Linked DNA regions of Danio rerio. The protein of the gene in region 3 interacts with the protein of the main gene of each other region in a pairwise test. Links are inferred from orthologs where the notes say so. Each region holds a gene or a part of one and is shown on either strand. Other genes may lie near its edges. The genes, in order: mxi1, mxd4 and max.

Region 1 (4,353 bases), on a different chromosome or scaffold from region 3:
CTACTGTTTTAACAGCTGAGCGGATAGAGACTTCGCGCGGAGGGTTGTGGGAAATGTAGTTCTTCATCCAACAGGCCCTTTAACTCGAACTGGGCTACTGCCAACATGTTTTTAAAATGTGTATATATCATTTTGAAAATTAATATTTTGATCCAATTCTCAGTGAATATAGGCAATGTATTGTGGTGCATTTAAACAAAACAGATTTATTAGACAAATATATTTTTGAAAATAATATTTTAGTCACCAAACATTTAGAAATTGAAACATAATACAATTAAATTCAAGCTAAATATCGCCAAAATCATTACAACCTACAAAATTTCAACAAAATAGTAATATTTTTTTTGCATCAGTTGATTTTTTTCCTCTTTTTTAAATATGTATTTAAATTTTTCTATAACATATACATTTGGCTGTACTAGTTTTTGGACGGTTAAGGCAAGTTGCTCTAGGTTTGGCTTCAGTACTGACTAGTCTAATGTCTAGAGACTTGTGAGAGGTGTACTTATATGTGCTGAGCCCTTTATATAATTGTTATATTTATGTTATATTAAGTAATGTACTATAAAATATATTTTAAACAGTATGCATTTAACTCTAAAAATGTAAATTCTCTGTATATAGGTAAATATTATACTTTATATTTGGTTATTGATTATTAATAATACTGGATACATTTATATACACATTAACTAAAGTACTCAGTGAATATCTGGCATCTCTAGCAAGTGAGACTAAAACATGCCAGAAAAAAACATGCTAATTTTACATGCTGTCATAAGTATTACTATTATATTGTTATAAAACGTGGTATTTTATTTAAATCATAATCCTGCAATCTACTTTATACAAAACAATGTTGTAATGAGTTTAAAAAATGTCATGTCTTTTACTTAATTATAAACTTAACGTATCAGAATCAGAAAGAGCTTTATTGCCAGCAGGGGTCTAGCAAGCACGGGGACAGGGACTTTTCAGTCTCTCATACTTTTAGAGTCGGACCATTTAGAAACAGGTGAGTAAGATAAACGTAAACTTTTAAATCTCATTTAGCTGCCCCCCTCACTTTTAAAATGTCCGCTATGCCCCTGATTGCGAGGTATGATCACAAATACAAAGGTACACATCACACATACAACAGTGCAACACAATCAGAGACAAAACAAAAAACAGATAATGAATATATTTTAAAAACAGAAGTAAAAAGTGAATACAAATATAGAAATTGAATAGTGTATGTATGGGTATAAACCTACATATAACATATGCAGGTGTTATGTGCAAATTGGCATGTAAAGTATGTTGTAAATAAATACATGTGTATAAAAAGTAGTGATGTTTGTTTCACAATACTATCGTAACATTTTCACCTGTTCATCTGTGTAATATGTGTGTAATAAAAGTTTATTGTTGCTCTTTTTTTATTTGAATAATATTTTCAGATTTGGCTACAACGCACTTCAACTCCCACAACCCCTCACTGCCAGCGCTGTTTAAGCCAGGCCCAGCAACATATGACATCACAGCCCAACAGCTCTGCGATTGGACAGGAGCCCTGGTAAGCCTCCACCAACGCAACTGGCACTGAGCAATCAGAGCAGTGAAAACTGCGCCATGTGGATGTCATGTGAACACACCCCCCTAGGAAACAGGAAGGCAATTTTGGAGAACTCTTTTGAAGTAGATTATGCTGTCTGCATGAACAATTTTTAGATCCACACGATATGATTATGCGTTTATTTAAATACGAAGCGAATAATACAGCGAATATATCTGACAGAAAAAAACATGAATATAATCTGCTGATCCCTAATATTAATATGCACTTTATATTATTAGTATTATCATTTTAATATTTATTATATTCAGAGGAGGCAAAATGTATATCGTGTAAATTTTCCAAAACAAATGTTCACACAAAACAACTTCATATATTAACAAATGAGTTTATTAGTACCATAAGCGCTTTATTGTACTCAGTCTTCATGTTTTGGTGCGTGATGAAAAGTTAAAGGGGAAAAAGCTGCGAGGTGACGTCATCCTGTGCGTTGTGCCAGCAAATGTTGCTTATTTAATTATTTATTTTCTTGTTTATGTTCCTCGAGAGAAAGAGGTGGCAAACGAGCTGGCATGCTCCACTGGCGAACAATGCCAGACTCTGAAATGCCCCATACGACAGTACATGCCAGCTTGGGACAGTCCGCCAGCGAATTGGGACGTTAAGTGCGCTGCAGAGGGAATTATTCATCTGTTTTTGACACACGAAGTGGAAAACAGCCACGCAGATTTGACATTAAATCAGTTTTTTGCAGTTATAAAACAGATCTGAAATAAATCCAATGAGTATGCACTGGATGATTGTGTGCGGCTATCTATATTAAATAAAAATATATAAAATATTAAATAAATTCAATTTAGCTATAATAAACTTCTTCATTTAAAAGCATTGAGGCTGTGAATCTCAAATTGAGGCACATTGCACATGCTCCTTGTCTACTTGGCTGATTGTTCGTTGAACTCAATCCTTTGTTGTCTGAGTCTATTGACAATGAAACAGTTTCTCTGCATTACGCAAATGAGTCAGAACAATCCCTCACAAGTGCACTATAATTTCACTTACTTCCATCCTTCCTCTCGGCGCTCTCAATGTAACTGGCAGCCTCCAGTAAAACTTGTACGTTTTTCAGGAAAGTGTTTATCATGGAAGAGTCTGTGGAGTTGAAGACGTCATTGAAAGGACAAGTAGACATCTCAAAATCTTGCTGATCTAAAGAGGTCTCGGACTCCAGGAACAAGTCTTCGGCCTTCACTTCTGTCTGCTGCCTCTCGCTCCTCACCATTTCGTCCCCGTGCAGTGAATATGGTTGGAAATGAAACTGTTGTGTGAGTTATTGTGCTGTGCTGCGCTCAGTGGATCTACTGAATAAATGAGGGGAATGTAATGGATGAGGAGATAAAAACACTTCGGCGTCCCCGGGTCCTAGTGTCCGCCCTCCGCGCACTCCTGTCACGTCTACAATGCTCCCCCAGAGGGTGACGTCATTAAACCCCCGGCCCGCGCGCACCCCAATACGATATAACAGCGAACAACAAAAACAAAGCTGAAATAGAAACCATCGATGTCTTTACATGAAGTAATGCAGGAACTTACTTGTAAACAACTTATTATACATGTTGTGAATTGGCCTACTAGGCTACTTGCCTAAATATTTAAACAGTTTAATTAATAAAAACTTTCACACAACAAACGACAAGCAACAGCCGGAAGTCATTCATTTCAAATGGAGAGCAGTCCACAGTCCGGGAGCTGCGTTGAGTTCCGATCATCTCCGTATGTGGAAAATTCCGATCCGAATTGAGTCGCAGATCCGTTGAAAAATTTGAACTCCTGCGACTAGACCGTATGCGACCTGCCGACCGGATATGATGTATTCCAGTGTTGTCCAAGCAGATCCGTGTATGCGAGATGAGAAAAGGAGTTTATTTGGTTATTTTTTGAATTATAAAAAGTCTATATTAAAAAAACTTTTCTGTTCATAAATGTAAGTTAGAAAGTAATAAAAATAAATATTTTTAATGTTCTCTCCACATTCCCTTCATATTTTAGCGGTCTATGAGTTTCTAGTATTCATTCATCCATTAAACTATCTAAACGCACAGAGAATAAAGGCTCTTGCTTTTGCCCTCCTTTATTTCGGACACCGTGAGAATCAGTTTCTCCCCCGCGGTGCACGACAACACTGAAAATACTGTGCGGCTGCCACAAGGGGGCGTATTCCAACAGTCGTGTCCAAATGTCGTGTGCAGTGGAAAGGCGGCTTTACAGGACAGTTCTTGAGCATGACAGTAGTTATGTTTCCATCCAAAAATGCGAATTAACATTATGCGCAAAACTGTATTATCGAATAAACGACAGACGAATAAAGCTGAGTTTCCATCCAACGAGTCAAAGCAAACAAAATTATCACTTCCTGGTTAACTGTCAGCAATTATTAACAGTAAAAACTGAATTTGCTGCAGTAGGAGAAGCTGCATGAATCTTTTCTTTATTTAATAAATGACTTGCACTTCAGAAGGCAATCCATGCAGTGAACGCGCGGTGGTGTTTGAAGGCGTGAAGCACAGACACTCTTGATTCTGGTGGTCATTAATAAAATAATAACAATAATACTTGAATGCTAAGGCATTTTAGAATGACCATAACAACATTTCAGATGTTTTACAATGTGCTCAGTCTGCTGGTTTGTCCATTTATACACATTTTCATCATCACATGATCTCTTATCACAAAATTACATGACCTTTATAATGCGCATACTGAAATTCGTGCGGTAACAGTGTTTCCATCGT
Region 2 (3,655 bases), on a different chromosome or scaffold from region 3:
CAAACCACAGAGCACAGAGACGCCACACTGTATGACATGTACCATCTATCAGTCGACTAGAGCATGCACGGTGCCATAAATTCACTATTTCTCGGAGCTAAAAATGAAACAAACATATTTATATAAAGACAGATCTATATTGCACGACAGGAAATCAGGCAGATTGAGCAAAAATACTGCGCAGCAAACAGGAAAGAAGAAAAAGGGTCAACAGACACATGGCACTGGGTTGCCATTGTCTACACAATGACAGTTGTTGAACCACTTCCATTCACTAGACATTAGTGATATAGAAAGGGACAAGGAAAATATGTAGCTATTAAAAGAGTAGTCTGTGTATTTTTGAAACATTTATGTCATTTTCAAGAAAAGTTTCAAATTGAAAGCTCAACTGTGCAGTGTGTTATACACATTAAGCAAAAAAGTGATAACAGTTTCTTATACTAAATGAGATTGTATAACATTAAACAACAACAACAAAATATCATGGTTTAAGGGTTTAGTGTTATTAAATACTCACCCTCACGTTGTTCTAAAACCCTGAGACCTGTGTTCATCTTCAGAATACAAATGAAGAGATTTTAGAATAAAACCAGAAAAACACAAAATGACATCCTCAACACTGACCATATGACTAGTGGTTTATTCAGAATATTGTCAAGCTAGTATAGACCTTTTTCTTGGCTGCTGCTTGGAAAGCGCCATAGCGACCAGCGTCTACCGGTAGAATGGTCAGAACTTCCGTTTACAGCGTTTACAATAGAAAAAAATGGATTTCAATAGTGTTTTTAATAGATTACAGAGTGTTTTTGTGACACTACACTTAGAAATGTGTCCGTTAAAGACGATTTAATCTGTCAGATGTGGTTCAAGCACATCAAAAATATGAGAAAAACATTCTCCTAGTTCACGTGTCACATGCATAAGCTGCCGACCGGAGTTCTTAGCAATTCTCCCTGCGCATACACGCAAAGCATAAAGGGTAATTTTTCATTCCAAGCAAAAGGTCTATAAGATGAGTGTTCAGAAGAGTGCTGTGCTTTTTATGAATTCTGCTTTCATGTTGCACTGCTGAGGTACACCAAACCTCAATTTCAAACATTGGAAGTCACACAAAGGCATTCAGAGTGTTTGTTTGTATTTAACAAAAATAAATTTGCAAGGCAAGAATTTGTACACTGCAGTTATATTTTGAAAATTTTTTACAATTAGTTTTTAAGTAATAACTGACTACAATAACTTTTTGACAGAATTAAAATGGCTTCATAGCTAAAGTGGCATCCATGACCCTTGCTTGTTAATGTGCGTCCTATAGACCATTTTAATGTGGTGAGTTCATTGGCCCATAAACAATTTCCTTCTTGTTGTCAAACTATTTCATATCTGTAAAAAGAGGCAATTCAATCCTAACTTGAAGCTATAACAGCTATTGTAACATTATTTATCAATACATGGAACTTTTTGGACTCTAAGAAGCTATGGAAATGTAAAATGTAAAACAGAAAACACGTCTGGACTATTGTTATTGTTTATATCCCTCAAAATGGTCTATACTGACACTAAAGAGAAAAAAAGGTTGTATAAAGTTGTTTTCTTATTTTATGTGCACACAAAAGTATTCTCGTAGCTTGACAATATTCCAACTGAACCACTGAATGCATGTGGTCTATTTATGTAATGTTTTTTCTTCCTATTTTCCTGGACCTTGAACGAGATCGGACTATTGCTGTCTATAAAGAAAAATATCTTAGTTTGTGTTCCAAAGACGAACGAAGATCTCAGAGGTTTGAAACAACATGAGGTTAATATCTTATAGAATAACATATATTTTTATGGGCGATGCGGTGGTGCAATGGGTAGCGCTGTCGCCTGATATCAAGAAGGTAGCTCGTTTGAGCCACGGCTGGATCAGTTGGCATTTCTGTGTGGAGTTTGCATGTTCTCCCTGTGTTTGCGTGGCTTTCCTCCGAAAAGTCCAAAGACATGCGGTGTAGGTGAATTGTCTGTAGTGTATGTGTGTGAATTAGAGTGTATGGGTGTTTTCAAGTGATGAGTTGGAACTGGAAAGGCATCTGCTGCATAAAAAAACATGTGCTGGATAAGTTGGCAGTTCGTTCTGCTGTGGCAACCCCATATTAACAAAGGGACTAAGCTGAAAAATAAAATTAATTAATGAACATATTTTCATTTTTGGGTGAACTAACCCTTTAACCTGTCTCATCATAAAACTCATTATGTATGTTGGTTGTGATTCATTCATTCATTCATTTTCTTTTCATATTAGTCCCTTTATTTATCTGGTGTTGCCACAGCGGAATGAAACCCAAACATATCCAGCACGTTTATACGCAGCGGATGCCCTTTCAGCCAAAACCCATCTCTGGGAAACACACACACACTCATTCACAGTCAAACACTAGGGACAATTTAGCCTACCCAATTCACCTGTACCACATGTCTTTGGACTGTGGGGGAAACTGGAGCACCCGGAGGAAACCCACCCAAACGCAGGGAGAACATGCAAACTCCACACAGAAATGCCAACTGACCCAGCCGAGGCTCAAACCAGCAACCTTCTTGCTGTGAGGCGACAGCACTACCTACTGTGCCACTGCTTCGCCCTGTTGGTTGTGATCACACTACTAAACTATGATTTAGTAGGGTTTTTTCTTTAATGATAACTGAACATTTGCAACACTCTGACATTTTGTACTTCATACAACTCAAAAATCAATATTAACCTTAAATAAAAAACTGCACACACAGGATGCACTGATTCTCTGAACTGAATTGTCAGATGCATCACACACTTAGATGACACTTTTTTTGTTCATAATTTTTTTAAGCACAGCTAAAGTATCACCATCCATCTTCACCATGTCAGGAACTGTGAGGTATCTGATTTGCAACATGGAGAGTGGCATAAATTTCCTGTGGACAGTTTCTGATTAACTTCCCTTCTGACTGGAACTGCTCAAGCCTCTTTACTGCTGTGCAAACAGATATTGTGCAAAGAAATGCTGATTTGGTTTGTACCTTGATGTGCATTTTGGCACGTTTGAGCAGGCTCAGTGTGGTGTGACGGGTGCTATCAGGACCCAAAGGCACAAGCTGTTTCAACTGCTCCAGGTACAATCGCAGTTTGGCACGTCTGCAAGAAACAAAGAAGAGGGTGGAGGGGAGAATTAGACGAGGACAAATTTGAAACCAAAGAGAATGATTTAGGATCATGCTGTTGGTTGTTAACATTGAGGTTGTGGGTTTGAAATCATGCAACCATAACTTAGAAACTACATTAAATGGACTGTGATTGCAGCTTTATATGAGAACTGTTTGTGTGATTATCTGACTCAACTCCTTATTTATGAACACTTTAGGTAACATTTCTCATTGAGATGTTGGCTGTTTACTTATAGAGAGAGAATATATTCTGCATGATCTAATTCTACATCCCTAATCCTGCCTACTGTAAAAACGAAATACCGAAAAATACTACTTCAATAAATATAAGATGTTGCAAATCAAGGAATAATTGAGGCAAAAGTCATAGTTAATAGTTTGCTAACAGCACACATTCTACCTTAAAATAAAGTGTGGCTCTTTTTAAATGAACTAAAGATTAACAATACTTGTAAAATATTTATTAATCATAATT
Region 3 (4,166 bases):
TACATATAAATACATAAAGATATCAAAAAGACATCATTAAATACTTTAACTTGGAGTTACCGATAATAATGTTACTAATATGATTAGTCTTGTTAAAATCTCAAGACTGAGAATAGTTTATAGAAAGTACTTTTCATCAGGCATTCAACGTAGACGATCCATTAGGGTCCTATGCAAACTCGATTGCAGGGGCGGGGCTCGATTTCTCACCACACTGACAGAACATAAACATTTTAGTAGAAAACTGACTGTGGTACTATTCCAGAAAATGAAACCTAAATCTAATTTCCTGAAAGCAACGCTGATGTATTGTAAAAATAAATACAAAACAAAAGACCTATGACCTTTTGATGGTCAAATTGCTCAATTTAACACACCATTTTATGCTGTGCCCAGTATTTCAGAGACAGTTTCATCTGTCAAGCTCATTTAAAATTTGCAATTATCAGTTTTTTTGGATAGGAAACGACAAGGTTCTACACCAAATGCTTCTCTTTAATTTTAATTACAAAATCTAAAGATTATTGCACTTAATTTGTATCTGGATTATAAGATATCATAAGAAATGTTCCTAGTTTTCTTTGCTGTTGTTTGTGTTGTTTTTTAAAGGCTATTGCAAATGCATGAGTAATGTAAGGAAAGCATGACAAACCAACTTCTCTCAAAAGTCACTGATCAGACTGGAAATTTTTGTAATTAAAAACCCATTAAAAGAATTAATACTGCATCGTGAACTCCATTTGTTCCAAACTTTTACCACAATCTTTCTGCAGGTTTATGAAGGTCATTTTAATACTTTGACTAAATAAAAAATCTAATTATAAAAAGACAATATGTGACCCTGTAGCACAAAACCAGTGACATGTCTCCGTTTTTGGGAATTAAGATTCGTGCATTATCTGAAAGCTGAACTAATGAGGTGTCCGTGACAATACTTGCCCAACATACAGCAATTTAAACATCTGTAATCTGGGGGTTAAAAAAAAAGCTGAGTTTCAAGTTTAACGCACAGTACTTATCAAAAATTTAGTTTTGCTTATGGTATATTTACTAAATAACTCAATATTGTAATGAATTGTAGCATAAAATAAATATTGATAATGTACATTTATCATGTACCCATATAATGATATTGACATGCAACATAAGACTGGGTTAGTGTAGCAGGGTCACATAAGTCAACTCAACATTTTCTCTAAATTGACAGTGAACACAATTTGAAAATACAACTTAATCATTTTACAAAACAAATAGTATAACTAGATTTCCACTAACCAGAAAATATATGTTCTCATCACACTGTTAAAAGTTTAGTTTATCCTCAGTATTGTCGTCTTGTTTTGCAGATAAAATATGGAAAGATCTTTAAACTAAGATATTTACTTAAGAAACAAAATGACATGATATAAATTCCTGAAATGGATCAAAATGAAGTGAGCTTATGATTAAAACAGCAAACATTTGAGCTTATTGAGCTCAAAAAATCAACTCATCAATTTTCGTTCCCTGTTGACAGATATTTGTTGTTGTTGTTTTAAGCATAACCTGACTTGTTCAATTTATTGCAAAAGTAAATTAAATGTATTCATTTTTGCTTGTTTAGATATTACATGTTTAAGCACATTCAACATTAATGCCAATGCCATTACGAATTTAAGATTTCTCTAATTTAGAAAAATAAGAGTCACAGAATCCCCATTAAACCCTTTTTTTAATATAACAAAGATATGTGTATTACTATCATTTTAAAATAATTTATCCGTACATTGACAATTTAGTATAAACAATGTACAAAATGTCTTTGGAAATCGGCAAGGGGGATGTTCCATAGGTTCAGTATTAATATTTAATGTTGCTTATTTATTCATATACGGTCTGATCTAACAAAAACAAGACACCATTGATGTTAAAGCCATAGATTTCAAATGATAACCCTGCCGTCGTATATTTCCATCGTCTAACTACTGCGCCACACACACACTGCGAGCGTCACGACACAGCAGAATGCTCGGATACAGAGATCTCGCTGCTGGCTTTCTGCGACGCGAGCTTTTGGGCTATCGCGTCGCGCACTCGCAGTGTGGCTGCGGCTCTCGCTCAGCCAACGTCCCTCCCTCCCTCCTGCAGCAAGTGCCCTGCTGTCGAGCACAGAGCTCCCCGAACCACCCAAAACAAGCAGACCCCGGTGCTCATCGAATCCAACACATCCATGCCCCCTTTTAAGGCATCATCCTATATTGTTTTGTCTTCCACCGATGCAAATCAGTCGGCGTTCAGTACCTACCCGGAAATATATGGTAGCTAATCTCAAAAAGAGAAGATATTTTCAGCATTAAAGGCTAAACTGGATTAATTGCTCCGCTTATTACGCACCACACCGTGAAATCTCGGTGAATCTTCCTGTAAGAAAACAGAACAGAAAGTACAATTGTAGCTACAGCTGTAAGAGTGATACTTAACTGGCTATTTGATGGATGCAATACACTGTTTTAGTAACTTACACATAATCGCAAATGTACACATACGGAGACGAGTATAGACTCGACCCCCGTGTTTAATCGCTTATCTGGCTGGATATTCTCAATAAACTGGCTGGGAAATTATTTCAAACGCTAGGTTGGCTGGCTAACTAGCTAGCAGGCTAGCCCCGTATTGAGGCTCAAGTATCGAAAATACAAGAGGTTTCATTTTCAAACATGCAGAGTACAAACAAAAATAACTATACTCACATCACTGTCGACCTCGATATCATCGTTGTCGCTCATTCTTCGGCGAAGATAGATAAATCTACACGAAATGTTGTTTTGAAAACAACATGAAACGGGGCCCAAATCAAATGAACAAACAGGAGAGATTCACTGCTTACACGAAACGAGATCAACGGACTCCCCACACGTGACTCGCCTACACACGGACATTTACCGTGGCGTGTCACGTCTGTGATTGCGCCGCAGAGCATCGTGGGACTTGTCGTTTGTTTAAGTTACGCAGTCGGTGGATGTAACCACGGAACTATTGTGTAGGACTACAACACCCAGACAGCTTTTCTGGGCGGAGTCTCTACATGGGGTTGAAGGAAAGCCCTTATGGTGGCAATGGGAGGTGGTAATTGTAGTTCATTTACATGTCTCGGAACCAGCAAGACACGTGGAGATTGCTCAGCGTTGTTTGTGACTAATACGTGGGTCACTAATACTGTGCATATTTGTGAGTAATTGCAAACTATAAAAATATTTAGACCATTGGTAATATTCTTGTTTTAGTACTCTTATCAGAGCTATAAAAACACAGAAACATGGTTACTCTAACGACCTACTTTAAATGTGAACTTGATGACAGTTTAAAATGACAGAAATAAACAAACAAAAACAGCACGGTTTGGATGTCAGTTTCTGCTAATACTTTATTAATAACAATTATATAAAAAAAACCCGGAGAATAAAAACAATGTTGTTTTGGCTATTTTGATTATTATGGATGTGGTGGTTTTATCACAGCTGTATTAAAGCATAATAATAATTCTGTAGCTACAAAATATTTCAGAGGAAAACTTGTTGTCATGACAAATTTAATGTAACATATCTCATTTTAAAACAGAACTGATCCTGATTCTCTAATAATGGTGTTATTCATAACAGTATAAAGCTGTGTCTTAGAAAACACAATTTTGATTCATTAGTAGTGGGCCTACTTTATACTGTTATCAATAGTGTGATCAGAGATTACTGAAAATACTTTAATATTAATAATTTAAAACCCTTTAACAAACAACTGCTGTTGTTATGACTGTGATCGGGCAAAAATAAATCTTTATATAGACAGTTGTTTCAACTTTAAATTATAAGGGAAAAGTATTTAGTTTTGTAATTTTAATCAATTATCTAGATCAAATACAGCAGATCATTTCAGAAGAAAACTATAACATAGAAAACTATATAATGCATTTCAAAATAAAACTGATCCTGATTCTTTAATAGCAGGCCCATAGCAGCCTGATGAAAGAGGTGGTTGTTTTTTTCTCAAAATGTGGACCTTTTTGCAGTTATCGCCTTATTTTCTATTTAATTATTATGTTTAGCACTATTTTTAGCTGGATTCGCTTGTCGGATGGATCATAAACACTTTTTGATACACCAAAAGTATTTCCTTAAAATTTATAATAAAGG

Evidence for each region.
Region 1: the proteins of max (region 3) and mxi1 interact in binary tests that used the Homo sapiens proteins (3 or more experiments, as listed by UniProt). The link is inferred for Danio rerio from reciprocal best matches to the Homo sapiens genes MAX and MXI1.
Region 2: the proteins of max (region 3) and mxd4 interact in a two-hybrid assay, tested with the Homo sapiens proteins (2 studies listed by BioGRID). The link is inferred for Danio rerio from reciprocal best matches to the Homo sapiens genes MAX and MXD4.

The regions. Positions count from the first base shown.
Region 1 is NC_133197.1:32,209,753-32,214,105, reverse strand, and holds the start of mxi1 (max-interacting protein 1), read right to left. Parts: upstream 2,915-4,353; 5' UTR 2,844-2,914; coding exon 2,624-2,843; intron 1-2,623. UniProt on the Homo sapiens protein: Transcriptional repressor. MXI1 binds with MAX to form a sequence-specific DNA-binding protein complex which recognizes the core sequence 5'-CAC[GA]TG-3'. MXI1 thus antagonizes MYC transcriptional activity by competing for MAX.
Region 2 is NC_133176.1:27,732,779-27,736,433, reverse strand, and holds part of mxd4 (max dimerization protein 4), read right to left. Parts: intron 3,152-3,655; coding exon 3,037-3,151; intron 558-3,036; coding exon of another isoform or gene 521-557; intron 1-520. UniProt on the Homo sapiens protein: Transcriptional repressor. Binds with MAX to form a sequence-specific DNA-binding protein complex which recognizes the core sequence 5'-CAC[GA]TG-3'.
Region 3 is NC_133195.1:31,576,356-31,580,521, forward strand, and holds the start of max (protein max), read right to left. Parts: upstream 2,874-4,166; 5' UTR 2,766-2,873; coding exon 2,730-2,765; intron 2,401-2,729; coding exon 2,374-2,400; intron 1-2,373. UniProt on the Homo sapiens protein: Transcription regulator. Forms a sequence-specific DNA-binding protein complex with MYC or MAD which recognizes the core sequence 5'-CAC[GA]TG-3'. The MYC:MAX complex is a transcriptional activator, whereas the MAD:MAX complex is a repressor.